Linked DNA regions of Rhinolophus ferrumequinum. The protein of the gene in region 1 interacts with the protein of each later gene in a biochemical or structural test. Links are inferred from orthologs where the notes say so. Each region holds a gene or a part of one and is shown in the gene's direction. Other genes may lie near its edges.

Region 1 (7,945 bases):
AGTTGACAGGCAAACTTAGGCACAGGAAGTATTCCATGTCTCTGTACTTTGGCTTTTCTCATCTATGAAATGACCAATTCAGAGTACCTAAGACTATTTAAGGATTCATGGAGTCAATCCTTACACAATACACAAAGGAGCTTTGCCGAGTGCTTACCACAGAGTAAACGCAGCACAGGTTGGCTGTTGCTCCAAGTTGAATGAACAAGCATCTGTGGCTTGAGGTGGAGATGGAGGTGAGCTGAGAAAGGAAATATGCTTTCCCAGAGCCCTTAGGCAGTTTTGGCCAAAGCTGGGGGGCTTAAAGTGAGGGGTAGTGAGGGTGGCTGATGAGATCAGACAGACAAGGGCACTGATGTCAATTTATCAGAAGGATTTTCAGTGTGGAGGTTAGAAGGCCTGGCAACAGTGGCCAAACAGAAGACTCAGAACGTCACTGAATAGCAGTCAGGGAAGCTGCAGCATGGCAGGTCTACCAGTTCTCCTTCTGACGAGGCGCTGGCAGGTTTGGTGCTGCTGCTGTCGCCCGCAGGACTGCTGTGCACTAAGGCCTTAAAAAGATGGTGCAGACTGTACCAACCTTGATTCTCCAGAAGGTTATCTGTTCCTCAGCAGTTTACCACAGCGTCGCGGCAGCTGGTTGTCTAGCAGCACGTCGTTCGCTGCTCTTGGGTATGTCTGTGTCAGTGTGTCTGAGTGCCTCACTCTTCAGGTCCTGAGCACAGGTCCCAGGCCCAGATCTGAGAACTGGAGGTGAGCACATCTGTGGGCTCACATTCCCTGTCAGTGCTGATGGGAGGGGGGGAGGGGGCCCCGGTGACGAGGGCTAACCATCACCCCGTCCATGCATCCAAATGTATATTTTCCTAAGTATAAAGGAAAATAACTTCTGTGAGGTGTGGGACAGTTGAAGCTTTGCTATGACCATGAAAATCGCGTAAGCAACAATGTGAGCTATTACCTCTCTTTGGTGTTCTTCCTAAATGAAATATGGAATCTCCATCTGCTGCTGCTTCTCACTATTTCTTTGTTACTTTATTACCAGTAAAGCTGTAGGAGATGAAGCCTTAATTTGTTCCAAGCCCCCTTTCGGTACAAAAAGCCATGCACACTCTCCCTCTAAAGCAGTGGAAATTATGCTGTCAATTTATTTCCTAATTTCCCTTGAATTTACCTGTTCATATATTTCTCACCTTTCCTTCACATATTTAATTGGTCTGGCCGGTTTTTATAGCCACATCTAGCAGGGAAGTTTTTTTCTTTTTTCTTTTTCTTTTCTTTCTTTCTTTCTTTCTTTCTTTCTTTCTTTCTTTCTTTCTTTCTTTCTTTCTTTCTTTCTTTCTTTTTTTTTTTTACAGTCTAGTGAAAGATTACAATGTGGTGTAGTCAAATGTATTTTATATTAGCAGGAAGGAACAATCCAAATGTTTTAAAGGTTCTCAAGAGAAAATATTGAGCTAAATGAAATTTTGTATCTGAGCTGGTCCTGCTTTTGGTCTGTGGCTATTAGCTAAATGAGGCTTTTAGGGAGGATGTTTGTATATTTTCTTTCTTTAGATTTCCAGGGATTAAGATGGTCTTGGAGGTGTTGTTTGAAATCAAAGCCCCAGCCTGTGTAGTTATCCTCTCCTTGCAACCTGTCTGATAGTCATCAACCCTTCCCACTGCCCTGCAGCCCCTTCTGGGGCCCAGAACCAATCCCAGTCTCAGGTAGAGGAACTGAAGTAACTCTGGGACGTAGTGTTACCTTTGGGGTTGATTTGACCTTGATCTTGTGCCTTGATTCTAAAATTGGACACATCTCTTATTCCTGAGTTTCAGTCCTTGCCTCACCGGGGGAAATGGACCCCTGTCTTGGCACCCCGGGTCTGAGTCTCTGTGTCCAAGGATTTTTCCAGCACTTGGGCCCTCTAGGATGCAGAGCTTGCCTGAACTGGCCAGGCCTCCTCTCAGGTCCAAAGTCCTTTTCTTGCACCGTGGCTTGGCGGCAAAGGGTCTTCCTTCCTGCAGACTGACCTCCCCATGTGGTCTGCCTTCCTCCCCAGTTGCTCAAGGAGTCCCTGTTGCTAGGGTCTATTTTTGTTTCCCCTCACATTCCTCAACTCCCTGGTGGACCACCTGTTACCATCTCTCTTTGCTGGTTTCTTGTCTGCTAGAGTCCATGCTCTGCCTATGGTAAGGGACTTTGCCCCAGCATCTGTAGCTGGCAGTGTCCCTGAAGGCTTGCCACATCCTAGGCTGCCCTTCTCATTGTAATTCACAAGCCCTGTTGGTCTTGAGATGGGAGGATTGGTGCTCCTCACGGTCAAAAAGTTTAAGGACTTGATTGCTTTCGAGTCTATTTGTACTAACTCAGACCCTTCCCTGGCCTCTTAGATATAGGCTTTCCTTATGATGCTATCAGAATCCTGGCTCCAAAGTCAGGATCTTTCAAACTAAAGAGTTTCTATATGGCCATAGGGACAGGTCTCTGTCCTTTTCAAAAAACCAGTTTGTAATGGAACACTTCCATGAAAATTCCTCTGGCTGGTCACATACCAGTCTTAGTTTCCTTGCCTTGTCTCCTATCCCCTAGGCTCTGAGTGTTAACCCTGATTCCAGTGTTCTTCCCATCCAGAGCTGACCCATAACTGTGACATCTGATCCAACTCCATGTTTGCTTCATGGTCCTGGTTTGTGCATGCTGTCTGTATGACGTCCAGCACTTCAACACCGTACTTCCTGATTTGAGGTTTGATCCTTCTGTCCTCGCTTGGCCAACGAATAGAAACTTTAGCTCTCTATCAAACTGGTTAAAACATTATCTCCAAGCCTCTTATTTTGCTATCTTCCCTTTCCCAAGTCAGGCATACAGACTTCCAATCTCTTCGTGACCATCTCCCTGAACTGTATCTGCAGCCTTGACCTGTCTCCTGAGTTCTGTGCTCTTCATTCTAGCAAATGGCCTCACCATGCTTCCTATAACCCAAGCTAGAAACCTCAGATTTACTGTTGAGCCAGATCAAAAAGAGAGATCCTTATAGTTAGCACCAAGGCCTGGGGCCATCTCAGAAATAGGATGTGGCCCTCAGTTCTGCACAGGAGGTATTTCATCTTGTCAGTCAGCTCATAGACCTCAAGAAATCAACTTACACAAACTAAACTCACACGGGATGAATTTTCAACCCAGAATTCTGATTTGTACTTTTATAATGGGGGATTCTACTTTCCCTTTGTTGGAATCTTCCAGTTCACAATCCACAGTCCACTCTTCCAGAAATTAAGAAGATGAGTTATCAGAAGGTTCCCTGGTAGGGATAGACTCAGAACCAACGAGTGGAGTTCTCTTGAGAGATTTTCATCATAAACACGTCAGAATAACCTGAGAGTATGCTTCTGCAGAGTATGCTTCTGCAGAGTATGCTTTCCAACAAACACAAAGAGGAATCTACTTTGTACACTTCATATGAATGAGAGAATTGTCATCAACTCATCCACATGGACAGTGGAATGATGGATGTTGAAGCTAGAGCATCCTTACATTCATTCATGAGAGTGAAGCAGCTAGTGGTACTTACCTAGTACCACGTACTCTTGTGAAACACACACACACACACTCTCTCTCATTTAATCCTTACAACTCAGTGCATAGATGTTGTATGTCCCTGTTGTGGGTTGAATTATGATCCCCAAAAAGATACATACAAGTCCTAACCCCAGGTAACTAATAAGGTAAATGTGACCTTATTTGGAAATAGCATCTTGGCAGATGTAATAAGTTAAGAGGAGGTCACACTGGATTAAGATGAGCCCTAAGCTGAATAACTGGTGTTCTTTTAAGAAGAGAAGACATTGTGACACCGAATACATATTGGGAAGACAATGTGAAGACACAGAATGAAAACACCATGTGATAGAGTCAAGATTAGGGTGATGCCTCCACAAGCCAAGGAATACCAAGATTGCTGGTAACCACCAGAAATTAGAAGAGGCAAGAAGAAAATTCTTCCCTCCCTAGGGCCTTTGAAGGAAGCATGCCCCTGCTAACACCTTGATTTCAGACTTCTAGCCTCCAGAACGGTGAGAGAATAAATTTCTGTTGTTTTAAGCCACTCAAATTGTAGTACTCTGTTAAGGCAGGCCTAGGAAATTAATACAATCTCCATTTCACCAATGAAGTAATGGGTGCTCAAAAATGCAAATTCACCCAAAAGTAAGTGCTTAGAACTCTGTGACTCCAAACACTTGAACACTTGCTTGTTGATCTGACCCATTAGGTAGGGGTTCTCTTTCTCCTCTATCAAAATCATCTTCCCAATGGATTATATAATAACATCAGCATTTCCCAAGTAAAGTTGTGTAGAACATTAATCCTGTGGGATAATAGAATGTGTTAATGTGCAAAAAAAGTTTTTAGGGTCAAAAAAGAGAGGCATCCTATGTATAAATCAGCCTTTCTTTTTCCCTGCAGGACCCCTAATGGAGCCTTTAACATGCATTATAAATCTCCAAAAGGAGGGATAGTAGAACTTGCTGTGTTTCTCAGGCTGATTTGAACATGGAAGTCTTTTCTTTTACAGAGAACATCGTATGGAACTCATATGCTACGGAAGATACTTCGGGAAATGCTGAATTAAAGAAAGAAAGCTTTTCTTTTTTTTTGACATCATTTACAAGCCAACCATGTTTTCTGAGTTACATCTTCACATAGGTCTCTGAAGGAGAATTGAAAAACATCCATACTGCATCAGAAATATATTTATGAACCATCCCTTTGGGTAGGTTAATGTAACTAATGTTTCACCATACCCCTTTTATTCTTTATTGTGCGGATTCTCGCAGTGTCTTCTAGTCCACATCCATTAGAAACATGCCTGTATTGGAACAAAGTTGGGTGTATTGATTTGTTGTACCAAGGGAGAATGCACACCTTGGGAAACTCAGAACGAAGATATGAGGAATTATTAGAGGATTTGTGCTTGTGTTAAGTAATTTGGGGATGAGATTCAAGGAAGCAGGAATTTCCAGGAACAAAAATGGTTATTAGTTCTCATAATAGACTCTGAAAAACAGGGACCTAGACTATCACACCCAAATAATGAAAAGATGGCCCCCAGAATTTACCTGTTTTTTTCTAGACATCGAGGAAGTTTCCCCCACCCCTACCCCAGTCTCGAGCTGTTCTGTAGTATTTATACAGGTTCTATAAGAAGTGCTTACTTCAGCATATATTTCTCTTTGGCTAGCTAAGAAGAAATTAAGAATTATGTCATTATGCATGACAACTCTGCCTAATAAATTTACATTTAAACCTGGGCTTTATCATAGATAAAGCCAGACACTAGTTAAAGTGAGAAGGACAGATTTTAATCAATAATATACTATTGCAATAGAGAAAAGAATCCAACATGAACTGAACTCAACTTCAATTTTTATGGAGGTAACAGGACATTTTCAAGGGAGAAAGAGGGGATGAAAAGGTGCTCAGTAGAAAATTCCAAAAAGTTGGAAGGGAAGCTTGGTCTATGTGAAATGCATCTGGGTTTGCTAACTGGCACTTACAGAGGGTTAGCCTCCTACCTTCTTACAGAGGCTGGTAGACAGGGGCCCTTTCTTCAGGTGTTGGTTCAAACAAAGAGTAAATTCTTTTGACAGACTTGAGTTATCTCAGGCTATGTTAAAAAGGGGAGGTTAGGGTCATCCTAGAGATGTGGACTTGAGCCATTAAGAACGATGTTAGTGTTTTATTAGGCCCAGGTGGAAACCTAGTTGGGAAGAGGGCTCACAGGAGCCTGGCTAGAGTTTGATCAGGGAGAGAATATTGTCAGCTTCCAGAGAAGTTGTATACTTTGTGACTTTTGCCAGGGTCGGAGACAAGTTTTGCATAGTCCTTTCTTATTGCTCTCTCAGCTCTGGTAGTAGTTGCTTGCACAGTCTGTGTGGGGACAGAGTCCCAGAGAGCCGTTTCCAGGCTCTCAGCCTCATGTGGAAAGGTGCTGGCTCGGGTGGTGGATGGCTGTCAGCTGTAACCAGTTAGCCAGTTGGCCACTGATAGAACTTCCACGGCTGCGTTGGTTAGTGAATCGGTTGATTGGCAGGCAGAGAATCGGACAGCAGGTTGCGGATTGTGTGAATCCAGCCTCCAGTGAGACTATAGTGGTATGACTGCCCTAACTATGGCTCCGTGGGTGTTCCTTTTTGTCCTAGCCACACCCTGCGTTCTTATGTGGGGAGCAGGACCAGAGACCCTGCAGGCCACCCCGCACGACAAATGGCGGAGCGAGCAGGGTCTCCAGCATGACAGTCTGCATGCATGGGAGTTAGTTATGCTTCCCAAGTGTTCTCTCAGTTAGCCTGTGCTTACCTTTTTCTAAGGTTTCTGTGTATTCTTTTTAGGGAAACAGGATTCGCTGGAGGGAGTAATAATTCAAACCTTTGAAATTCTCTAACAATTATCCTGAATACACAGGCTAAGTTAGCGTGTGGCGGGTGGGTGTAAACCTGGTGTCCAAATAAATAAGAAGTATCCTAGTGAGGCAAGGACTGTGTTGGTATTGGGAATTTAAGAATCATTGATCACAACAGGCCTTCTCTTTATGTGAGCCTCTGTAGGGGTTGCAGGAGTGGGGGGGCCACTGGAGGTGGATAAATTCCTTGGGGGAGTCAAACATGTCCTGCAAAGCAGGCTGGAATATCTCTGAAGAAAACAAAGAAACTATTTTTAATCTAAAATAGGCCCCACCTTTGTTCCCACTCCTAACGGCTTAGGTCTTCTGGTGAAGACCTCAGCAGAAGTATTTTGCTGATGGGGTTCACTGTAAAATTGTTAACAGACTGAAGTTTGGGATTAATTATACAAGGGGAACTTAAATATCAGAAGGGATATGTAGAAGAAAATTTACCTTTTGAAGTGGTTTTTCTTCTTTTTTTTAAGTTATTAAATTTTGTCAGCAATCAGTTGACTTCAGAACAGTAGCTATGGTCTGAGAAAACCACAACAGATATTTTTTTTTCTTAAGTGGCAGAAGACCATAATGGGTCACAGGATAAAGAGAAGGGAGATCATTTTAGTTAATAGAGGGAGCGAAAGTACAGTGATGGACAAGATGAGTAGTGAAGGGAAAGAAAAAGCGTGCTAAAGAATCAGAAAATTAATTTTGTTCTGTCGTGTGGGAAAGCTGTCTGCTTCTGCAGTCAGTAGTTTGCTCTGCTATTTTGGGCAGAAGCTGTCCACATCTGTAAATCAACAGCTTCCGGAGAATTTCTAAAAATCTTCAGTTTGAGGTCTTTCAAAGGAATGAACTTCCAGTAGTTGACAGGAAGTATGTATGTCTTTTAGTTGGGAAACATGAATCCAAAGATTAAAATATTGGAATCTTAATACTGTGCCAGTTGTTAAAAGTACCAATAAGGTCCTTTCCATCAGGTTCAAGAGAAGTTATTCTCTGATGTCTTTTCCAGAATATCAAATATCTAGGTTTCACATCACACCAAGGCCATTTTGGAAGATATTTTGGAAATGCAGCTCTCCTGCAGATATCACATTAGATTGCAATAAGGTAGGATCAAAAATTGGAAATAATTCCCACATGCATAAGACAACCTGTTATTTACTCAGAAGGATTTAATTTGTGGGTCCTAGAGGAGATTGCTCTTATTACCTGCCATCAAGGTCAGTAGAAATACTTGAGACATTAGATGTTTGAGTGTTGTAGATTCCATCAGTTCTTGTTACTTTCTTTGTTGTTTGTGCATAAGGACAAAGATGTTTCTAAATAAAAGGGAAATGCTTACAGTTCTTTATTGACTGTATATCAGTGAAATGTGTGTCTTTTTTACTGGAGAGACAAGTTGGGATTACAAAATGAAGTGATTTTTTTCCCTACTACTACAGCCAGCGCTCTTCAGCAAGGAAAAGCTTTTAACGGACTCTGAGAATCAGCAATAACCAGAACACATTCATAGA
Region 2 (7,685 bases), on another chromosome or scaffold:
TGTTTCCCAATATTCCCAATAAAAATTTTAAAAAAGAAAAAGAAAACAGCAGACTGACTAGGAACTCCAGTGACCTGAACTCACGGTGGTGAGTTCCCTGCATTTTCTTGTTGTCTCCTATGTCCCAGACTGGGTTCCAGAAAAGTGAGCAGCCTGGAAATCCTGTGGGCACCAACCAAAAAAAGCCTCAATAAAAGCCTGCTCTCTCTAGCCAAAAGACCAGGAAATGGACAGCGTAGCCAGAGAGAAAACTGTTAGATAATAACCACTCTACTGCAACCAAACATCACAGAAAAAACTGCATCCCTACACACACCAGCAAAGGCCAAGTAGAAATTCAGACTTTCATCAAGCTCCCCCATGTTCTCTGGGGTGGTGTCAGAGAAGGTCTAATAGGGAGCCTGGGCTTCCATCCCCACAGAGCAACAAGGCCTCCCCTCCCCACTGGGTGGTGTCAGAGGAGGCCTAGTGAAGAGTCAGGACTTTTGTCCCTGCCCTCTCCCTCCTCCCCTCCCTCCCCTACTCCTTAATCACCCTCGCCCCCACCCATGGTCAGTGGAAGCCACCTGGGGATCAGGAAGGAGGTACCTCAACCTCTCCCACGTATCGGTGGAGAGCTGGAACTCCCACCCTGCCCAGCAGTAAGGAAGAGCCCCCATTTGAGGTATCAACTGACATGGAGGGGAGAACTTGAAATTCTGTCCCTACCTGGCAGTGGCCCTTCCACTGATGGCTACAGTGTCAGAAGAAGTCTACCAAAAACAAAGATTTAAATAAGTTCCAGAATTTTATAATATAATAGCCAAAAATGTCTAGGATGCAATAAAAAATCTCTCTTCATACGAGGAACCAGGAGACTCTCAACTGAATGAGAAATAACAGATTCCAACACCAAGATGACAGAGAGCTTTCAATGATCTGAAAAGGATTCTAAAGTGGTCAACGTTAAAAAGAAACGTTGTGCTTCAGTGAGCAGTTACACACAGGTTGAAAAAAAAAAAAAAAAAATAGGAAGTCTTAGCAAAGAAATAGGAGATATCATGAAGAATCAAATAGAAATTTTAGAACAGATGAATGCCATAACCGAACTAAAAAATTCAGTGGATGGACTCACCAGCAGGGTGGAAGAGGACGGAGGAAAGAATCAGAGAACTTGAAAATAGAACATTAGAAATTACCCAATCTGAATAGTGGGAAAATAGACTTAAAAAACAAACAAACAACAAAAAAAACACAGAGCCTCAGACATGTGGGACTATAACAAAAGACCTAACATTTGTGTCATCAGAGTCCCAGGAGAAGAGAAAGAGGGTGGGGATGAAAAAGTCCTCAAGAAACAATGGCTGAAAATTTCCCTAATTTGGCAAAAAACATAAACCTACAGATTCAAGAAGCTGAAATTATCCCAAATAGGATAATTTCAAAGAAATCCATGCCAAGACACATTACAATCAAACGTTTGAAAACAAGACAAACAGAAAATCTTGAAAGCAGCAAGAAAGAAACAACACCTTACCTACAGGAGAAAAACAATTCAAATATCAGTGGATTTCTCATCGGAAACCATGGAGGCCAGAAGGAAGTGGCACAATTTATTTCAAGTGTTGAAAGAAAAGAACTGCCAACCTTGAATGCTATATCTAGTGAATATAGCCTCGGAAATGAGAGGGAAATCAAGATATCCTCAAACAAAGGAAAGCTAAGAGAATATATTGCCAGCAGATCCACCCTAAAAAAAAACGGTTAAAAGCAGTTTTCAAAACAGAAAGGAGCTATCAAAGTAGAAATCTTAGAACATCAGGAGGGAAGAAATAATAGAATGAATTAAACTGTAAGCACATAGACTTTCCTTTTCCTCTTGAGCTGTCTAAATTATGTTTGATGATTGAAGCAATAAGTATAACACCATTGATGTGGAGTTCAATACATGTAGTGGAAATATTGAAGATAATCATACTATAAATGGGACAGAGGAAAGAGACTTAAAGGGAGGTCAAGTTTCTTCTTTCCTCAACTTGATGAAATGACACAAGTAGATCTTGGTGGTGATAAAATGGTTCTGTATCTTGATTGCGATGGTTGTTACAGAAATCTCCATATGTGGTAAAATGGCATAGTACTATACACACATCGAACCGATGTCAATTTCCTGATTTTGATTTTGTACAATAATTATGGAAGATGCAATCATTGAGGGAAGCTGGGTGAAGGGTATACAGGCCCCCTCTGTACTATCTATGCAACTTCCTTGTAAATCTATAATTATTTTTAAATAAAAAGTATTTGTTTTTTAAGATTGAGGCTGCTTAGATTAAAAGTAGCTAAAGACACAAATGTAATTTGAGAACCTTGATTAGTTTGTGATGTTAAAAAATATAAAAGGCAAATTGGGGGAAATTTGAATATAGAACTGGATATTAGATGATATTAGGTGATATGAAATATTGCTTATTTTCTTTGATGTCATAATAATATTGTGGTTATGTAGGAGAATGTCTTCATTCCAACAAGATGCATGCTGAAGTATTTAGAGAAGTGAAATGAAATCTGGAACTTACATTTGAATGGTTCAGAAAGAAGTGTAGGTCGATCGATAGAGCAAATATAACAAGACATTTACCAGTTGTTGACTCTACTTTTTTCTTTTTTTCCGCAGCACTTCTCATCATATATACTGTGTGATTCATTTATTTATTGTGCTCAGTTTTGTCTGTGTTCTCTCACTAGAATGTAAGCTCCCCAAGGGCAGGGATTTGTTGTGTTTTGTTCTGTTTTCTGCAATATCCCCAAATCCTAGAACAGTTTCTGGCACATAACAGGTGCTCAATGAATATTTGTTGAATTAAGAATGAATTTCTGTATCCCTAGGACCTAGGTCAAGGTCTTGCACAGAGTAGGTGTGCAATGATTGTTGAACTGAAGTGAGATCTAAGTTCTGTTGTACTGAAGTGGTTCAGAGCATGGACTCTGGAGGCAAATGGCCAGGATTTGCATCCTGATTCTGTCACCTCCTGCTGTGGTACCTAGCTGTGTTAACAGCTCTGAGCCTCGATTTCTCGTTGGTAAAAATAGGGTAATAATAGTGGCACCTTGGTAGGGTTTTTGTCTGCATGCAAAGCATTTAGGACTTTGTAAAGACTCAATAATTGGTAGCTGATGACAAAACAAGGACAGCAAAACTCACAGAAACACAGAGGAAACTGATGGTTACCAGATGGGAGGGAGTTGGGGGGCTGGGTAGAAAAGGTGAAGGGATTAAGAAGTACAAATTGGTAGTTACAAAGTAGTCACGGGGACGTAAAGTACAGCATAGGGAACATAGTCAATGATGTTGTAATAAGTATGTATGGTGCCAGGTGAGTACTAATCGGGGGGATCACTTTGTAGTCAGAAATGTCTAACCACTATGCTGTACATCTGAAACCAATATAATATTGTATGTCAACTGTAGTTAAAAAAAAAAAAAGAAGAGCAAAAAGATAGAATCCTCCCAGCATGCCATCCTCCTTCCATCCCCCAGCAGGCTGAGCCAGGAGCAGCTAAGGGGATGTCCTTGGGCAAGTATCCCAAGTTCTTCTGCAGACCCCAGGAATGGTTCCTCTTACTTCAGACCTCTTCCTGCCTTTTTCCTCCTGCCCTGGTCTCTCTTTCCTCTTGGCATCCTGAAGCGCTTTCCTTCAACCTAACTGTGCGGGAGTGGGGCTGGGGGGAGACAGGAGTCTGTGGGCCAGGGACAAGAGCCTAGAGCTTTCCTTCCCTCCGGTCCTAGGCTTAAGTCCTTCACTGGTGATGGAAGCAGGTCGAGTGGGAGGCTGACAGCATTTCAGGGCCTAGAGGTTGAGAGAACAATAGTCCTGAGGAGGGGGCCCCCGACAGGAGAGCAGCCTCGTAAGCCGCCCTCTTCCCTTATCCCCTGTTAGGAGAGAGCACTTCCCCACCGTCCCTTCGTCCGTTGTGCTGCCTCAAATCTTTACTTCTGGTGGCCCCAGCTCAGAGCACGCCCGGGGACCCACTGAGCGTCCCCCTGCAACTCCCTCTGGGAAGTGGGGTGGGGTGGAGTGGGCGGAGGATGCGCTGAAATTGGGGGTATGAGGACACGAGATTGGGGACTGAGTTCACGCGTGGCCCAAGTCCCATGCGACCGCCCTAGGGTCAGCGGTACCTCAGCCATCTGGGGGGTTGGGGCTGAGCCTGGGGATCCACTGCCCCTGTTCCTTTAAGGAGCCGCTGTTTAGCATTCCTACCGCTGCCGCTGCCGCTGCCCGACTCTGCACGCTGATTGGCTGGAATCAACTGAGACGGGAGCCAGGGAGAGATGCTCTTGACTCCACTCAGATCCATCCTGGGGACCAGTGCAGGAGCGGTCCTCGCAGCACCCATCCTCTGCCCAGACTCCCGCTTCTTGTTTGCCGCTGGGCCTCGGCCCAGAAGCCATTACGGGCGACACGGAGCCGCCAGTGCTGGAGGGGGAGCCGTGGGTGCGGGGCAGCGTTGGGGCAGAGGCCCCAGGACGCCCGCCCGGCCCCAGGCCCCGGTCCGCCCGGGCGCCCCCACGGGTCCCCCCCCCTTCCTGGTCCGAGCAGTGTGAGTGTGCCCGGGAGCCCGGCGCCGGCGGCGGCGGCGGCGTGGAAAGCGGCGTGGGCTGGGGGGTCCGGGCCGCGGGGGGCAGTGCTATGCACAAGCACCAGCACTGCTGTAAGTGCCCCGAGTGCTACGAGGTGACCCGCCTGGCCGCCCTGCGGCGCCTGGAGCCTCCCGGCTACGGGGACTGGCAGGTGCCCGACCCCTACGGGCCAGGTGGAGGCAATGGAGCCAGCACAGTTTATGGGGGCTACAGCTCGCAGACCCTGCCCTCGCAGGCGGGGGCCACCCCTACCCCCCGCACCAAGGCCAAGCTCATCCCCACCGGCCGCGATGTGGGGCCAGTGCCCCCTAAGCCAGTCCCGGGCAAGAGCACCCCCAAACTCAACGGCAGCGGCCCCAGTTGGTGGCCAGAGTGCACCTGTACCAACCGAGACTGGTATGAGCAGGTATGGATCAGCGGAGCTGGGGGGGTCGTTGGGGCAACCCCAAGGGGCTGGGGAGTGGGGGCCGAGAGGCCTGGGGTGCAGTAGGGCTTCCTGGGGCTGCAAGCCGGACCAGGAGAGGCGGTGGGAAATGTGTGCTTCCTTGTGTGTGTCTGTTTGGGGGTCTCCATTTGGAGGGGGTTGGGAGGAACTGTCTGTGTCAGGGGGTGAAGGTATGGCGGAGGGGCACATTTTCCTGTGCGGGGGAATTGGGCTGTCTCAGTGTGGGGGTTTAGCAGTGTCTCTGTGTCTGGCAGGGGGCGGGAGGTTCTGCGGGGGCTGTGTGTGGTGTGTCTCCACGGCAGGGGAGGAGGGGGCACGGTGTTCTGCGTAGGGGGACGTGTGCGTTGAGGTGTGTGGAGGAAGGCAATGGTGCTCCTTTGAATCTATGTAGAGCCCATGTGCCAGGCTCCCTGAGCGTCCTCCCTCCCTGCCAGGAGTCCCTCTCCGTCCCAGTCCCTTTGTGTGTGAATGGGCACATGGACGGTGTGAGGCCGTGTCTCTGAAGGTGGAGGTGTCTCTGTGTGCCTGTGTGTGTGGCTCCATGTATGTGTGTGAGCATGTGCCTGTGTGTGTGTGTGTGTGTGTGTGTGTGTGTGTGTGTGTGGTGTCCCTGGTTAGAGGCTCTTGACAGGCAACAGAGGGGAGGGGGAGGAGGAGAGAGACACGTCCCAAGCAAGGCTGAGAGACTGAGGACGGACTCTTTTGTCCAAGCAGCTCTGAAGTGTGTGCTGGGGGGGGGGGGGGTTGAAGCCAGCTTCCTCGCTCCAGAGCAGGCATGGTGCCCTGGTGCAGGGACTGGCCCCAGTGGGGCATGTGCCCCTTGGGTCCCCCCAGATGTGGAAGAGCTTGGCCCCCCAGGCCTGACTTGGCACAGCTTGGGAACCCCTGGGTGCTGGGCACAACTCTGGCTTCCACTCCCAGCCTAAACTGCCAGCTTAGAAAATGGAAGAAGCATCTGTGGGAGAAGCAGCAAAATGGAGGCTGGGCCGGCAGAGCCAGGTCCCTGGCACGCATGGCGGAGGGCCTGTCTGGTTATTCAGCTCTGCAGCACCCAGGGTAGGGGGAGAGAAGGAGGGTTTGCTGTTGAGGGCAGGTGCTGATGGCCCCAAGCTGGTGACCATTCTGGCTGCCTCTGTCCTCCTCTGGGGATAGGATGTGCTCTCACTCAGAAGCAAAGGTGAGGACTTCCTGCAGAGAGGGGTCCTGGGTTCTGGTCTTCTGTCTGTCTACACTGACTGCATCCCGTGTCCCTTGCCTTGGCCCCTTGCCCTCTGCAGCGAGTCCCCGTGTCTCCTTTTCCTCTCTATCATGGGGCACTACCCTTGCAAACACTCTCTCATGCTTGTCCCGATCAACTGAGAGATGAGTGACAGTTCCAAGGCTGGACCAGTTGGCCAAGGTTTGTCTGCCAGGGCTGATCCCTGGATGGCTCCTGGTCCTGGGAGCAGGGTCCCTGAGGGGGGCAGTGGGAGGGTGGACCAGTGGCAGCTGGATCCTCTGGATGTCAGTGGTACTGGGCTTGAAGCATGGCTTATCACATGTGGGTACACATGGTACCCCAGATGCATGCAAGAGCTGCATGAGTGTCCTTTTGCCTGTGTTTCTTTCACATGGTATTTCAGGCAGCTGTGTCGGTTTGGGGACTCTGAAGAGTCATCAGTTCTTCCTCCTGGGATCAGGGACCAGAGTGGGGCTGCAGCTGGAGTCCTCCCCCCAACTCCTAGGGCTGCACGGCATAAAGTTCCATGACCAGACCCAGGAAAGGTGGAGGCATGACTAGCCAGCCCTCTCCCCCTCTCCACCTTTCTGCCTCTGGAAGCCAAAGCTGTGTGGGAGGAGGAAAGCAGAGCAGGGCATTTGGAGGAGCCCTCATCCTGGATTCCCAGCTCTGCTCTTCAAAGGAGACCTGGGGTCAGGAAAGGGGCAACTCAGCCAGAGAAAGATGTGGGATGGGTGCCAGGTTACCTGGGGAGAGAGGCAAGAGGGCTTCTCCATTCGTGGGGATGATGAGAGTGGGAGTCAGGGAGCAGGTGCTACTTGTCTGTCCAGAAGTATGACAGTGGCCACAAGTATATCTTGTCTGGGAGGCCACCTCTGTGGGCTGGTCAGAGTAACCCTGCATTCTGACCCCTTCCCTTGCATCTCTTCCCATGGCTACTAGATGTTGAAGGCCATGGACTCTGCTGCCCGTCAGTCCACGGGCATCAGCTCCTCCCTCGTGGGGAATCTTGTCTACTCTGCTCCTGTCCCGCCCCTGGCTTGGCTTCTGACACCTAGCCAGCCAGATCCTACCCTGGTCCTTTCCACTGGGAAACATGGAGGGTTCAGGATCAAATGCCCCTTGGTAGAAAATGGATTAGGTCTTTGACTCCTTCTGACCATATGAAGAATTGGGCTTGTGGGGACACAGAAGGAGATGTAGAATGAGGGTTCATGAAGTATTCTGAAGGGGGAAGCTTGCCTTTTGCCCAGGAGCTCTGCTGGGGAAGGGGATGGGTGGCCAAACATCAGTAGCCTTGGCCGCTTGCTTTAATCAAAAGAGCACCTGGAGATTTAGGGTCTAGCCCCTGCTCTGCCAGTATCTCCAAGTGTGCCCTTAGCACAACCTGTGTCCTC
Region 3 (8,601 bases), on another chromosome or scaffold:
ACCCAGCCTGGAAGACTGGTGTAGTAGAAAGGGCACTGACCTTGGAAGTAAAGGCACAGGGTTTTAGCCATGGCTCTGCTATGAACTTGAGTGACCCTGGCCAAGTCACTTCACCTCTCTAGTTCTTTATTTCCTAGTCAAAAAATTGAGGTGGTACAACTCAACAACAAAAAAATCAAACAACCTGATTTAAAAATGGGCAAAGGACTCGAAGAAACATTTCGCTAAAGAAGACATACGAAAGGTCAACGGGCCCATGAAAAGATGCTCAACATTATTCATCTTTAGGGAAATGCAAATCAAAACTACAATGAGATGTCACCTCACAGCCAGTAGGGTGACCATCATAAAAACAAAACAAAACAAAACAGAAAATAATAAGTGTTGGTGAGGCTGTGGAGAAATTGGAACTCTTGTGTGTTGTTGGTGGGAATGTAAAATGGGGCAGACTCTGTAGAAAACAGTATGGAAATTCCTCAGCCCCCTCCAAACATAAAATTACCATATGCAATTCCACTGGAATTCCATATGGATTTCCCCAGCAATTCCATATGGAATTCCCCAGCAATTCCACTTCTGGGGACATATCTCAAAGAATTGAAAGCAGGGATTCGAACAGATATTGTACAGCCATGTTCACAGCAGCATTATTCACAATAGCCAAAAGGTGGAAGGATCCGATTCATGGCTAGATGAATGGATAAATCAAATGTGGTGTCCATACAACGGAATATTATTTTGCCTTATAAAGGAAGGAAATTCTTACACAGGCTACAACATGGATGCGCCTGGAAGACATTTGCTAAATGAAATAAGCCAGTCACAAAAAGACAAATACTGGATCAAAGATTCCTGACCAGGGTGCCAAGGTACGCCAGTGCCAAGATATTGATCTCTTCCAATTTTGAATAAGCCAGGTAGGGCTGAGCACAGCTGAAACCCCCAGGTATGTCACTTCCAGCATCAGAGAGCTTCTTCTATTGACCCCAGTATGCTATACACATATCATAGCTTTTAAAATATTTATTACCCTCAATTATCAGATACAATATATGTACAGAAAAGGGCATAAAACTAAACTACATAGCTCAGTCATAAACACCCGTGTAACCACATCTCAGCTCAAGAGCTAGAATCTTGCCAGCACCCCAGAAGTCAGGACAGCGTGTTACCACCTAAGCAGGCATCTCCCAAGTTCTGCCTGGTATTTGGACATTATGTAAACAGAATCCCAGAATGAAAACAACTGCACGCAGCAACGTGGATACTCTCACAAAGGTAATTATTGAATGAAGTAAAACACACCTAAAAGGAATACACCAGAACAATTTATTGAAAAAACACCAACCTTTCCCTCTGTTTTTTGTCAGAAGTCAACCGTTTTATTTGAACGGGTCTGTTGTGGGGCTGTCTAGTCTATTCCATCGGTCCATTTGTCTATCTCATGCCCATGCCATATTGTAGTAATTACTGTCACTCTACTGTCCTGTTACCCAGCAGAGCAACTCCTTCCTTATTCTTACTTTTCAGAACTAGCTTGTCAAATTCCACCAAAAAACAAACAAATAACAACAACAAAAAAAATCACAGAAAAAACCCAGTGGGGAGTTTGATTGGCGATACATTCATCTGTAGATCAATGTGGAGAGGACTGATGTCTTTACAGTGTTGAAGTTTCAATCCACGGATATGGTATCACTCATCTTCATTTACTTAAGTTTTCTTGAGTGGCTCTCAACAATGTTTTATAGTTTTCTAAGTGTATGCTCAAGTACTATTCCCCTCAATCTTTGGGGGGTCTGGGCAGAGCCTGCGGCAGCTGGCCTTCGGTCACTCCAGCCTTGAAAAGCCTCAGCTATTTACCCTAGTGAACTGTACAATTATTATCAATTTCTCTGTGTGACACGGTGGGGAAAATATTGGGGAGAATTGGCAAGTGTTTCCAGTTTTCTGTGTCTGACCACTTGCACAAAACGCTGTGTTGTGAGTGGGCAAGAACACTACCACAATGCCCCAAACATCCTGAGCTCCCGAGTTGCCCACTGTACTTCTAGCCTGTTTATTTCCAGGAGCCTGTCTGTACAATGTGTGCCCATAAATTAAGAAGGCTTATTCTTGCAAAAACATTAGTAACACGATTATGTACTGAGCATTTACCTGGCTCTGGGTGATGTAAAAATGTCTTCTTACTTAAGTCTCCAAGAAATCTTATGAGGTTGTTAGTATTATCTATATTTTACAGAAGAAAAAGCCAGAGTTTTGAGAGGCAAATGGTAGAACCACTTCCGCAAACATGGCAGACTAGGTCATCTGAAAACCCTCCCTCTTCAAAGTTCATAGAAAAACTGGGTAAAATATATCAAACAGTTTTTTTTTCCAAATAGATAGTTGAACTTGAAAGAAAGGAAAGAAATCTATAAGGTCCAGAAGTGAAGTGAAAGCTGAAACCAGTAACCTAGCAGTTTGTTTTCACACGGTCACTTTGGGACAGGAGGTAAGACCTCAGAATTGAGACCCTCCACAGAACTGAAATCCTCAAAAGCTACGTTCTCAGTGAAAGCATGAGCTGAAAACCAATCCTGTTGGCAAAAGGAGATTCATTTATTCACTTATTGATTCAGTAACATTTTTGAAAGCTTACTATAAGCTAGGCTTATATGCCAGACACTTGGGATACCGTGACAAAACAAATACAGATCTCTGACCCTGGGGAATTTATATTCTGGTGGGGGAGAGACAGAAAATAATAAACATATATCAGTATGATAAAAGAGGATATGTTTATGGGAAAAACAGATCAGGGATAATGAGGAAACAATCTGTTGACCTGGACTATGGGAAAAAAAGGAATTCTCTCCTGCAAATTTCCAACCACAGATCTGCCCTTTAGGGGGGGCTGGGGTTGTAACTGACATTAATTATTTGCATGATCTAGAAACACTAAGACAAGTAATTAACATAAATTGGCCCCAGGGTGTTAGTGTCTTCTCATTATTCTAGGGTTATAGAGAGGTGCTGGCTGACAAAACCCAAAGAAAACCCTCCACCCAGCCTGCCAAGGGTTCCCAGAGATAAAGCCCAAATAAACTTGAGCTCACAGTAAAAAAATTCCCACAAAACTACAAAACTATTAATGGCAGATTTAGGATTCAATACATTATCTGTTTGATGCCAAAATCCATGCTCATAGCTTTACATGCTTTCTAGACCCTCACCAGGACTTACACCATCCACCTTCACGGGCTTGCCTTAGGACCCAAGGTATTTAGGATCACAGAATCTTAGAATTGTAAGGGACCCCCCAAAATCCCCTATTCCTAACAAGGCAGAACATCCTTCTGTAACGTGACACAGATCCTCAGCCTTTGCTTGAATACCTCCAGGGAAAAAAAAACACACTCCCTCCCTGAATGGTGGGTGGAACAACACTGCCTAAGGAGAGGGACAGGCTCCTGAATCTTTCTGAGCCAGATGACCTTGGACACGATAACTAGTCAGATGAATTTCAGTGTTCTTATCTGTATAATGGGGATATCGTCTCCTGGGGTCATGCTGAGCCGATATCCCCATTATAACAGAATAATGGCTATGAAGATTTACCAGGCTAGGTAATCTTATTTCCCCTTCTCCTTAATGTCTAGATCTGAGTCATCTATAAAAAGACTTACTCTGCTTTGCGTTAATCAGATCAAATCCACTTACAGGCATGAGATTTTTAAATCCAAATTTTAGTGGGGGGGCAAATCGCCTTCCGTTCAGTGTTTCACCGGGGTAGGGTTTTTGTCATTTTAAAAAAAATCGCTCATTTCCATGTAATTTTGAATCAACACTGTGTTTTGCATTTCGAAGGCCTCTCTATGTCCAGTCTGAAGGCTGGTGGCGGTTCCATCTGTGCTGGGATGGAGGGCGAGTCTGAGAATCCTCTCGACTGGGGCTGGAGTGGAAGCTTCACTGTAAGGGTTATCTATTTATTTATTTTTTTCTTCTGTCATTCAACTTTTTTTTTAAATTTCAGAAGGCTCAAGAATAGATTTTACTACTGGGGCTCCTTCATTTAAAAAATGATAGCATTATTTACATACACTATAATTCACCTAGTCTAGGGGTACAGGTTGGTGAAATTCTGTACTTGTAGACAGTGAACTGCAGAGCCACCCGACACTCAAGATATAGAACAATTCTCTCACCTGGCATTACAACAAAGAAAACCCCGAAAAAATTTTAAAAAAGGTTAAGAAAAACAAAGTTTCCCCTCAAGGTCCTTGATTTTAAGAGGGACATTGACAAATCGACTGGGTCCAGGGAGAGAAGTCCTGAAGCCTTGGCACAGGCAGACCACCTTCAGGACTGAGGCTTATGGGGGATACATCAGCCCCACAGTATTTGAAGGACTGCTATATAGCTACAGAGTAGACTCAGTTCATCTCAGAGGGAGCCATCAGAACCTGTGGGCAGGAGTGAGAGCTCTTTTTGACTCGATATAAAAAAAAGGAAACTTCTAAAAACAACGTAATAAGGAGTATTTACAGAGGATGAAGCTAAGTGAGACTCAGAGGGAGAAACATCTAGATCAAGCACCTGGGAAATGGCAGTCAGAATGTGAACCCAGGTGTTTAGATCTGAAATCCAGATTCTCCCCATTCCTCCTTTCTACTTTGGAAGACACACAGGGAGCCCAGGGGGCCACAGCACCAGGTGGAGGTGACCTGAGTTAGCTGCTCAGCTGTTTGTCATCTTCCACCATGGACCCTCTGGCTTGGGCCATGCCTTTGTTGGAGGCAGCCAAAGCCCAGCGGAAACAAATGGCCCTTGCAGCATGGGGGTGGAGGGAGAGGCCACCCCCTGCTCGGCCAGTGGGTCGCTCTGCCTCACAGCCTAAAGCCATCTCTTGCCCTGGTTTCCAGTGTGGGCTGAGGATCCAGGTCAGTGAGGAGCCGGGTGCTGGGTTTGCCTGTGTGGGTGCCGCTGATACGGATCAGCTGCTGGTCCCGGCTGGGGTGCTGAGCCGAGCGCGGGGCGCCCCCACACTGCCCAGGTGGCCGGGCTGAGAGGAGCGCGTGCAAGTGCCTCCCACCTGTCCGGCGGGGCTTGCTGGAGAGGCCGTAACTGTGGAAGGGGAAGACAACTGAGAAGAGAAGCAGAGCACGCTCAGGTGAGAGAGAGAGAGCACTTAACAAGAGAAAGGGACCTGGGACGTAAGAGCCCGGGCTTTACTCCTAGGGAGCCAGCGAGAACTCCCTCGCAGACAGGAGAAAGGATGGGCACGGGAGGGGCTTTGCTCCCTTCACTGGGCTTCTCGGCCTCCTGGCCTTCTATTGGTGGGCGTCGCACAGGTTCCTGCTCCTCGGGAAGACCTCAGTGGGTGGGGATGCTCAGGTGAGCCTCAGTCCTGACCTTGGGATGGAAGATAGTGGAGGCTCCTAAGGCTGTGACCGTGGCATCTGCTGAAGGGAGGGAACCAAGGAAGGCAGAGGCTGTCCTTCCCCTGTTCTCCACCCTCCTCCTTTCTGGGAGGGGCTGGCATCCCGCACAGATAGGCCGGTGGGCCAGTGCGTTGGGTTTGCTGAGGGCTTTTGGGGTTTGTCCAGCTCAGGGCTGAGCTAGCTGGCAGGAAGCCGGACAGAGGTCACTTCAACTCAGACCATGCGTCTCTGTTAAATACATCAGCTTTTAAATCAATCCTCGTTCAAAGTCCAGTGAGTTTCAAGACTACAGCTTGCCAGCAGACAGTAAATTCCCCAGTACGAGCCGCTCCTCTTCTAGACCCAGGTAAGAGCTGACTGTGTCCCACCTGGGCCTGAAGCACCTTCTTCCTTTCCCCTTTCCTTTTCTAAGCAGTAGCTGGCTGTTCAGAGCATAAGCCAGGCTCACGGGGGAGGAGCCAGGCCCCTTTGGTGGTGGTGGGGGGTGGGGTGAGAGATTGACCTCTCTCCAAGATTCTCTCTGTTGGAGATGCCCCAACCCTTGGCAGGAGAGGGTCTGCTTCACCAAGGAATTGGGGACGATCCTCAGAAAAATCTTCCCAGGGTTGTATGCGGCTTTGATATGCAGCCAAAGGGAGTGAGACGACAGACCTCACAGGTCACGAGATACAGCGCCGTCCCACTACGCAAGGGCTTTGGGTGTTAGAGGTTGTCTTAAAGGATGCAACGTAGCTTAACTTTCTGGATAATGAACACAGGCATTGCTCCTCTTTTCATTACGTCATAGCACGGAGAAATGAGGAGAAACAGTGATTTCTAGGCTGGCTGAATTTTAAAACGTAGACCTCCAGGCTTTACCCTTTGGATTCTCTAGTTCTTTGGGTCTCGCGTAGGTCGGAAAAATCTGGGTTGTTTTCTTTTTAGCACTCACCGAGATGGTTCTCTTGTGTGCAGGTTGGTAACCAACTAGCAGCTTCTTTCCTAAGCAGAGGGATCAAGGGACTCACATGAGACTTTCTTCTAAGGACTCACCCACCAAGGAGAATCCTGGTCTGGGCTGGCTTCTTGAGGACACATTCCTTCTTAGTTTTAGTCCCTGCAGTGTTGCACCCACATGCTCTCATTACTGTGTCCCAAAGTCGGACGCACTGATTGTGTCAGGTCATGGTTGTCTAGTTACCTGGGGTCACATGTTCTTTCCTGCAGCAAATAACTCAGGGACTTTGAGTTTGTATGTTATGACTAAGTAAATTGTTCTTATCTTTGACTCTTTTGCATGTTCTTTGCACCATCAACTATGAAGTTGCTAGGAATGATGTCTTACGTTCATAGACCACTGGCTACACAGAAGAAATAACATGGGGGTGGATTGCAAATAACCTGGGGTTTGATTCAGTTTTCAGCGACAGGCTATTAGACAAATCACTTCGCCAGCTGTAGCCTCCATTTCATCATCTATCGAAGCCTCTCCTCTTTTGCTAAAGGCTGCACTGAAAATGAAATCATACTTATGTGTTTGAGTATAAACACACCCGTGCGTACGTCTCAAATGTGTGTATCTGAAGGCTCTGAGGATAGTGGGAGAAACAGCCTTGCGGTCCATCAGGAGACCTGGTCCCGTCTTTTAATCTCATCGGGCCTCGATTTACTCATCTATAAAAAAAGGGGTTGAGACTGACGATCGCAGTTGTTCTGTTCAGCCCACCAGGTATGATAGATCCTGGAGCTTAGACGCCTGGCTCCTTCTTGGCACTTGGGTTTGAATTAAAGGGTTACCTCCCCAGGAAGGGCCCTCCCTCCTCCACCCCACCGCCGTATCTCTTCATGTGTAGCCTCTATCTTCAGAAGTCATCTTGTTTACTTTGTATATACCACCTTTGCCAGATGTTTAGCTTCAAGAGCGCAGGGATCTTGTCTTTTGTGGTACGTGCTGTGATCCCAGCTCCCAGAACAACACCTGGCAGAGAGTAGATGCTTAGCTATTTGGATCAATGGCAGTTAGTGTGGCGGGAAAGAAGCTGCAAGGACAGAATCGGGATGTTTTGATAAGCTGCTCTGAAGGAGAAGAGGTTGAAGAACTGATACTCTCAGGTCATCTTGTAACGGTGACACTATATCTTCTATTTTGAGATTTAAACTTCTAGGGGAATTTGATTTAGTAGTGTAGTTTAGCTTGGGACTTTTTGAAAGTTTTCTTTGCTTCCCTCCCCTCCCACCAAACCTTAATGACTGTTTACTATATATTTACTATGCATACCAGTTTTTATGATTCTGTTTACTTCTGACCCTATGCATACCTGGTTCAATGACTTGAAAGAAGTTCTCATGTCTGTATAAGATCCACTCCTATCCCTGAAACAAAGCAGCCTCTGGGAAGTGCCTGACCAACTTCCACTTTCCTTGGTTCTGCGTCTCCTTACCTGCCTATAAAACCTTTTGGCCATGCTGGGAGTTGGGGGGATGGCCTTTGGACAGAAGTCCGCCATCCTCCCAGAGTGCTGACATTTTGAATACACTAACCTAGTCTCCCAAGCTTTCGCTTTTGTGCAGCGAGCAGCCGGACCCTTATCAAGGTAATAACAGTTTGAGGTCCCAAGTCTGATTGGGGGGAACTGGGCGTCTCTGGTTCACATGTTGGTTAAATGATTTTCACATTTGTTGCATAGGAATTTGATGAGATTGGCAAGTTAGAGGGAGACATTTTTCTCCAGATCTCAGCAGCTTCTGTCCTTCATGAGGGACCGCCCAGATTCCTTTCATCTCTTTGCCTGGTGGGTGTCATGGCTAGCGTGCTGGAAATGGAAACCTGCATTCCAGAGCAGACAGACTCTTCCTCCCTAAACCTATTTCCTCATTGGTCAGATGAGCCTTTGAACAGAGTTCCTAGGATTGTGAGGATTAGATGGGGGAAGCGCTTTGTGTCTAGCATACCTGAAGTCCTACTAATCTGATGACCTTCAGATAGCTTTGTGAGTGGCATGACCCCGGGGAAGGAGGGAACCCAGGAGTTTTGATAAGCAGGAAAGATAGCCCCTAGCTTACCCGCTGGCAGCCAGGGAGGGTTTGCTCTTGCTCTGAGAGAATTACCAGCTTCTGAGACTCCAATCCTCACCCAACATAAATGCTAAAGCTCCTCTGTAATCTGTAGGACTGAGTCTAAGGCACTCTACAGTCTAAC
Region 4 (7,546 bases), on another chromosome or scaffold:
GGTGCAGCTCACTGGCCCATGTGGGAATCGAACTGGCAACCCTGTTGTTCAGAGCTCATGTTCTAACCAACTGAACCATCTGGTCACCCCATAAGCACAGTTACACTTTTAAAATATCAATGCATATGTAGTGCTATATTTTCTTCCTTCTTCCTCCCATCCTTTTTTCTCCCTCTCTTTCTCTCTCTCACACCTCTCTCTCTTTCATATACTAATTGAGTATCATATGCATGTCTGACCCTGGGTTCTTTTTCTTTTCATTTGTGTCTCCCTTATTTCGGAACTTACAACCTTGTTTTCCAGGAAAAGCACAACTCACATTTTTTTCTTTTGATTTTTTAAATTAGTTTCAGGTGTACAAAGCAACATAATAGTTAGACATTTAAACCTCTCATAAAGTGATGTCCCTCCCCCAAGGTACGACCCCTCTGACATCTTATATAGCTGTTCAATACCATTGACTATCTTCCCTATGTTGTATTCTACATCCCGTGACTATATATATATATACCTATATATTTAGTTATAGTTGACATTCAATATTATTCTACTTCAGCTTCAGGTGTACAGCACATTGGACACAGTCTATGAAATGATCCCCTGATAAGTCCAATGCCCATCTGACATCTTACATGATTTTTACAACATTGTTGATTATATTCCCCATACTGTATTAACTACAAATTTGTATTTCTTAATACCTTCACCTTTTTCACCCTGCCCCCAACCCTATTCCCTTCTATCACCCTCATAGATCTAGTACCTATCTGGCACCATACCTGTTATTACAATATTATTGACTATATTCTTTATGCTATACCCTACATCCCCATGACTACTGTGTAACAACCAATTTGTACTTCTTAATCCCTTCCCCTTTCACCCGTCCTTAACCCCCACTCCCATCTTAAAGAAGTCCCTCTAAGATTCCTTGTAATACTGGTTTGGTGGTGATGAGCTCCTTCAGCTTTTTCTTGTCTGGGAAGCTCCTTATTTGTCCTTCAATTCTAAATGATAACTTTGCTGGGTAGAGTAATTTTGGTTGTAGGTCCTTGCTTTTCATCACTTGGAATATTTCCTGCCATTCCCTTTTTGCCTGCAAAGTTTCTGTTGAGAAATCAGCTGCCAGTCTTATGGGGGCTCCCTTGTATGTAACTAACTGCTTTTTTCTTGCTGCTTTTAAGATTCTCTCTTTGTCTTTATCTTTTGGCATTTTAATTATGATGTGTCTTGGTGTTGGCCTCTTTGGGTTTATCTTTGGGACTCTCTGTGCTGTCTGGGCTCATACGTCTATTTCCTTCACCAGGTTAGGGAAGTTTTCTGTCATTATTTTTTCAAATAGGTTTTCAATTCCTTGCTCTCTGTCTTCTCCTTCTGGTACCCCTATAATATGAATGTTGGTATGCTTGATACTGTCCCGGAGTCCCCTTAAACTCTCCTCAATTTTTTGGATTCTTTTTTCTTTTTGCTGTTTTGGTTGGGTGTTCTCTACTATCTCATCTTCTACATGACTGGTTGGATCCTCTGCTTCATCTAAGCTACTGTTGGTTCCCCGTAATATACTCTTCATTACCATTATTGCATCCTTTATTTCTGACTGGTTCTTTTTCATGGTTTCCATCTGTATTTTTATGCTTCCTATTTTTCTGTTGAAGTTCTTCCTGAGATCATTGAGCATTCTTATAACCAGTGTTTGGAATTCTGCATCTGATAGATTGCTTATCTCTGTTTCACTTAGTTCTTTTCCTGGAGCTTTGTTCTGTTCTTTTATTTGGGACATGTTTTTTTTTTTTCCCTCCCCATTTTGGCTGCCTCCCTGTGTTTATTTCTAAGTATTAGGTAGGGCTGCTATGTCTTCCAGTCTTAGTAGAGTGGCCTTATGTAGTAGGTGTGCTGTGGGGTTCAGTGGCGCAGTCTTTCTGGTCACCTGAGCCGTGCACTCCAGGTGTGTCCCTTGTGTGGGTTGTGTGTGCCCTCCTCTTGTAGTTGAGTCTTGGTTGATAATTGTGTATCAATGGGAGGGACTGACCCTTGGGCTCACTGGTTGTGAGGACTGGCCTTGACTACAGTGGAAGAGTTGTTGTGTAGGGGCTGATCCTATGGAGCAGGATCTGCCTCAGCAGGACTCTGGTGCCTACCAAATCCGGCACTTGGGTGTGTCATACTCAGAGGCGGATGGGTAATGCCCCAGCTTGTTTTGAAGCTGCCCACTGGGGGCACCAGACCCAGGGCCATTTTGGAGGGGATCTGCTGTAGGTCAAGTTCAGCCAAAGCCTGTGCCCCACCCAGGGCCACCTGGCAGGAGCCACAAAGAAATCCACAGATGGCTGCTACCCATGCTGTGCTTGGAAGCGCCTTGAGAAGCCAAGCCACAATCCAAGGCCAGCTGCCGCTAGTGCCGCACTTAGGGCTGCTCAGCCAGAGGTACAGGATACGCTCAAGCCAGATGCTTCTTGTCTGGGTTCCATGGTCCTTTGAGAGACCCTAGGAAAGTCTGCAGCTTGAGCCAAGACAGGTGGTCTACACAAAAAAGCCACTGGAAGCAGCCTGGGTGTGCCCAAAAGTTGGGCAGGGTTGGGTCTCGAATTGCCCGTGAGTGGCAAACAACAGCAGACTCAGATATGGTGGCCGCCTGCATCTGCACTCGGGGAAGGGGGAGGGCTCAGCAAAGACACAACGGTCTCCACCAGTTCCCCCGTGCAGGAGAAAACTGCCTCTCTAGCCCCTCTCCCAAGCCAGACAACTCAGTTCCCCACCAAATGTCCCTGAGACCTCTCCAGCTGCTGCCCTAGCACTGGAGCTCAGAAGGAGTGATTCATTAGTGGGTAAGTCTGTACATGGTCCGTTTAAGAGGAGCACCTGAGAGTGCAGCCGCTCTCCATCTCACTCAGTCACAATCTCCGCTGGTTTTCACAACCAAAAATTATGGGGACTTCTCTCCCCAGCACTGGAACCCTGGGCTGGGGTGGGGCTGGGACCTCTTGCTCCTCTGGGGGCTGGGGGGACCCCCACAGCTGAAATAACCCCCCTGATCTTTAATGGTCACACACGGATGTGGGACCAGCCCATTCCACATCTCTGCCCTTCCTACCCATCTGGAGGTGGCTTCTTCTGCACATCTTTAGTTGAAAGCCTTCAGTTCAGCTTGATTTTAGGTGATTCTCAATAATGGTAGTTTTGTAGATTAGTTGTAATTTTGATGTGGTTGTGAGAGAAGGTAAGCACAGCGTTTATATTGCACCATCTTTGTTGTCTCTCACAACTCATATTTTTTTAATGCTTACTATGTGCAGGAATTAGGCTAAGCAGTTAGCCAGTATTATTTATTTCTCATAATAATCTTGGGGATAGTAATTTTAATATAGTATTCTCATTTTATAGATTATGAAATGGAACGTTAGGGGTTAAATAAGTCACCCAGAACCACATAGATAGAAAGTGGCACAGTGAGAATTTGAATACAGAAAATCAGAAACCAAAGCCCATGCTCTTAACCACCAAGGGATCCTGCCTCTCAGTGGACTGTATGTTCTATGAGGCAAGATACTAACTATCTTGTTTACAACTGAATCCCTACATCCAGCACTGTGTCTGGCACATAGAAGTTGTTCAATAAATATTGTTGAATGAATGAATGGATTGTAAACTCAGCTTTTGCTGCTATGTGGCCTGCAGAAAGGAGAAGCAGGAGGGATATGGGCTTGGAAGCCAGACAAACCAAGGTTAAACTAGAGGTCTCTTCTTACTAGTGGTGTGCCTCAATTTCCTCATCTATAAAATGGGGACAATATACAGGCTATGCAGGATTTATGTGAGATTTAAATGACAATGTATGTAAACCAGCCAGTTCATGTGTCAACATACAGCAGACTGAATAAAAGGCATCTATGTATTATATGTGCATGTGCACATATAATACATATATGTTATGTAGGTGGCCTCAGGGGGATTTTAGTAGTATAGAACCATTTCCCTCTTGTTGGACACTTGGATTCATCTCTGGTTATTGACTTAAACTCAAGGCCTGTCCTTGGAGTCCAGTGGTCCTCTATACGTAGCCCCGCCCCGAGGTTCAAAGCCTTGCACCAAGATCCATGTCTCTTTTTCTTATGCTCCTAAAAGCGTGAGTTACGGTCCAGGCCCTCGACGGCCTTGCTCAGCAGTCTCCACGATTGGATGCTAGGGCTCTGCCCCAGGCACTAAGGCCTCTGCCCTCGCCCCTCCTCTCCCCGCCAGCTCCCGCACCTCACTGATCCCTATCCTTACTTAGCGGCCTGGCCCGGACGCCGGTATGGTCCCACCCGCAAAGTAGTCCCGCACTACACATCTTTCGGCTCCTGGACTCCGCCCCAGAGTCCCGCTATCTTGCCTTCGGCCACACCTCCTAGATAGCCCCGCCCCTCGAGGCTCCACCCCCCCAGTCGCCCGGGGTAGGGTGGCGGCTGTCCCAGCCGGGCCCCCTGCGCCCTCTGCCCTGGGTGCTGGCTCGAAGCGGGCCAGACACTGCGGAGCAGGGCGAACGCGGCGGCCCGGGGGCTCCAAGGCGAAGATGGCGTCAGGCAGGCGCGCCCCGCGCACCGGGCTGCTGGAACTGCGCACCGCGGCGAACTCCGGGGCCGGCGGCGAGCGGTGGCAGAGGGTGCTGCTCAGTCTGGCGGAGGACGCGCTGACCGTGAGCCCCGCCGACGGCGATGCCGGCCCGGAGCCCGGCGCCCAGCGGGACCCGGAGCCCGCGCAGCTCAACGGCTCCGCGGAATCAGGCACCGCGCCCCCGCAGCTGCCGGAGACGCTGCTGCTCCAGCGGCGCCGTGTGACTGTGCGCAAGGCCGACGCCGGCGGGCTGGGCATCAGTATCAAAGGTGAGGTGAGCGAGGAGGCACTGAGGGCATAGGGTCTTGGTGTCTTGGTGTCTGTGGGCCTCCGAGGGACCAGGGCTCGCGGCGTCTGGCAGCATACCAAGGACACAGAATTGGAGGACTTCTGTCTGGGGGAAAGGTGGTTTAAGGGGACAGAGGGAACCGAGGGCACCCGGAGCACCAAGGTCGGAGATGGGTTCGAGAGTCGGAGGTCTCCGTCGAAAGGCACAGGTGTGGAAGGGTTTGAGGGGCGCACCAAGGACACGTGGGTAGGGAGTTCTGTGTAGAGGCATAGAGATCTGAGAGGGGCTGCGTGGGCATCAAGGAAAAGGGGAACCCCAGGAAAGCAAAGGGTGGCGAAAGGCGATTGAGGCCTGGGGCGCCACTAGGGCAAGGAGGGGGAAGTCTCTGAGACGACCAAGGTAGGGGATAGGGCCTGGAGTTCAAAGCGCAGGGAGGGATTGGAGATGAGGCGTCTGCTGTGCTCATGTACAGGGGTCCAGAAAGGATCTAGAAATCTGAGGACTCAGGAAAGCTGTGTACTTAGGCAGAGCCGCGTTTCAGTTTACTGACCACCTTGCCCAGGATTGAGAGGGGTGGACATAGAGTTGTTACTCCTTTTTGAGAGCTCTCAGCCCCCAATATTGACAGCTTTTTTTAGGGTGCAACCAGACTGTGCTTGAGTCCAGGATCAACTGTGTGAATGTAGACAAGTCATTTCCCATCACTGGACCTCAGATTTCTTAACTACTATATTGTGAAGCTAATGATAGAGTTGTGATGTTTTTATGAGAACAGGAGTCTAAAGTACTCACCCTGCCATCACATAGTAAGTGCCTAGTTAATTATTGCTGTTAGATGAGAGGGAAAATGGAGGCCAGGAAAGCAACTAACCATATTGCTTAAAATCTCTGCCCCCATTCCCCCCAACGGCTGTTGAGTTCACCATTCCTACCCATTTACTTCTCTCAGTGTCTCAGCCCCCAGCCGAGTGCTATCTGCCTTGGGAGGGGGTGTCAGCCCTTGTATCTTCCTGGATATGCACTGTTCTCTCTTCCTGGTGCTGGTTCTGTTTTTGGTACCTCCAGACCCTTTGACTTGGGCGAGGGGGTGGGGATAGTGATGACTTGGCTACCACTGTGTGCCATGTGTTATGCTCAGTACTCTGGGCTCACGATTCACTTTATCCTGGCAACAAGTGGTAAAAGGTAGGGAACATAAACCTTGTTTTACAGCTGAACGTACTGAGACTCAGAAAAAAAATGATTTTCCAAGGATCACACAGTTAGTGAATGGCAGAGCTGGGATTTGAACCTCAATTATCAGGCCACTGGAGAGTGCCTAGGGAAGTCAATTCTTCCCCGTGGAAGGGCAAATCTCCATGCAGCCAACGAAAGGGATCTAAAAGAGGGAAATGGGTAAGCCAGGGAGTGGGCACCAGTCTTGCCCCAAAACTCCAGCGTAGGATAGGGCAACAGATCAAATCTGGAAATTGTACACTCAATGTGTCAAAGCAGGAAGGAACTTAGAGTTCATACAGAGCTCCATTTTGCAGATGGACAAACTGAGACTTGGAGAGGAGCAGAGACTTTCCAAGGTCATATAAAGTTATACCCTAGCTCCATACTTCCAGGTGGGGGTGAAGGTACTTTTAGGAGGCGTCAAGGGAGGTACCAGCTCCATTCAATTCTTCATGTATGGAAACCAGGCTCTTGTTACCATGATGACCTCCCCCTCTAGGGTCCAGCCCAGTCCAGGCAGCTAGGAATGCACTAAAGTCCCCAGTTTCAGGCAGAACAAGGCAGATATAAATAGAAATCCCTTCCTTTCCTAGTCCGTAAGCTCTGCAGTGCAAGAAGCAAATTGTTGGTCCTGTGTGGGGGTCACAAGAGGTTTCTTTCCAGTCCTACCTCTGCCACCAATTTGTTATGTGACCTTGAAATAATGATCTACTTTTTCTGGGCCAGTAGTACTTCATCTTTAATATTTTGGGAATGGACAAGTAGTGTGATATCTGAGGGTCCAACTTGCCGTCTTCCATAGGGTGAAGAGTACTGGTTCTGAAGCCAGGAAACCTCAGTTCACATACATACTGGCTTTGCCACTTAAATAGCTGGATGACCTTGGACAAGGGGCTTCTATCCATACTTCAATTTTCCTGATGGGAAACTGAGCCTGCCTGTGTGATTGGGGTGTTGTGAAGATGCGATGAGACACCACTGACAACATTTAACACATTGCTTGGCACTTGGTACATGGAACTAATGTGAACTGTTATTACTATTTCTTATTTTAAAAGGTTATTCAAGAGTTTAGCAATAAAGCAATTGGGTAAAATGTATTAGATTTTTATGCATCAGAGATGAAATTCAGGCAGGCTTTTGAAATCTCTAGACTTTTAAGGCTTGGTTTCCAGCCTGGATCCTGGATTATAAAATTTTCTGATTGCTAATGAGATCCCTTGGAGCCATATCAAGAGCTGACTTTTATTGTAATGCCGGATTAGGGAGGTATCCCCACTATGGCAAAATTGCTTCAAGTCCAAAATATTTAAGAAAAAGCTAGTGAAGCACCTTGTAAATAACTCAAACACTGGTAAACATCCAAAGCATTGAACCAAAAGATCCAGTGACCAAACTATAACAGTATGAATTTAGAAAATGACTTATTAGTATTATTAGTGTCCCAAG

What was found.
Region 2: the proteins of CYSLTR2 (region 1) and DLG3 interact in a test that uses a peptide from one of them, tested with the Homo sapiens proteins (2 studies listed by IntAct, with this or other methods). The link is inferred for Rhinolophus ferrumequinum from reciprocal best matches to the Homo sapiens genes CYSLTR2 and DLG3.
Region 3: the proteins of CYSLTR2 (region 1) and PDZK1 interact in a test that uses a peptide from one of them, tested with the Homo sapiens proteins (2 studies listed by IntAct, with this or other methods). The link is inferred for Rhinolophus ferrumequinum from reciprocal best matches to the Homo sapiens genes CYSLTR2 and PDZK1.
Region 4: the proteins of CYSLTR2 (region 1) and SNTA1 interact in a test that uses a peptide from one of them, tested with the Homo sapiens proteins (2 studies listed by IntAct, with this or other methods). The link is inferred for Rhinolophus ferrumequinum from reciprocal best matches to the Homo sapiens genes CYSLTR2 and SNTA1.

What each region holds. Positions count from the first base shown.
Region 1 is NC_046287.1:88,775,544-88,783,488, reverse strand, and holds the start of CYSLTR2 (cysteinyl leukotriene receptor 2), read left to right. Parts: upstream 1-4,579; 5' UTR 4,580-4,740; coding exon 4,741-4,757; intron 4,758-7,945. UniProt on the Homo sapiens protein: Receptor for cysteinyl leukotrienes. The response is mediated via a G-protein that activates a phosphatidylinositol-calcium second messenger system.
Region 2 is NC_046284.1:2,238,349-2,246,033, reverse strand, and holds the start of DLG3 (disks large homolog 3), read left to right. Parts: upstream 1-4,317; 5' UTR 4,318-4,673; coding exon 4,674-5,030; intron 5,031-7,685. UniProt on the Homo sapiens protein: Required for learning most likely through its role in synaptic plasticity following NMDA receptor signaling.
Region 3 is NC_046305.1:49,992,999-50,001,599, reverse strand, and holds the start of PDZK1 (Na(+)/H(+) exchange regulatory cofactor NHE-RF3), read left to right. Parts: upstream 1-4,985; 5' UTR 4,986-5,152; intron 5,153-5,539; exon of another isoform or gene 5,540-5,769; intron 5,770-8,601. UniProt on the Homo sapiens protein: A scaffold protein that connects plasma membrane proteins and regulatory components, regulating their surface expression in epithelial cells apical domains.
Region 4 is NC_046306.1:21,487,283-21,494,828, forward strand, and holds the start of SNTA1 (alpha-1-syntrophin), read left to right. Parts: upstream 1-4,409; 5' UTR 4,410-4,549; coding exon 4,550-4,859; intron 4,860-7,546. UniProt on the Homo sapiens protein: Adapter protein that binds to and probably organizes the subcellular localization of a variety of membrane proteins. May link various receptors to the actin cytoskeleton and the extracellular matrix via the dystrophin glycoprotein complex.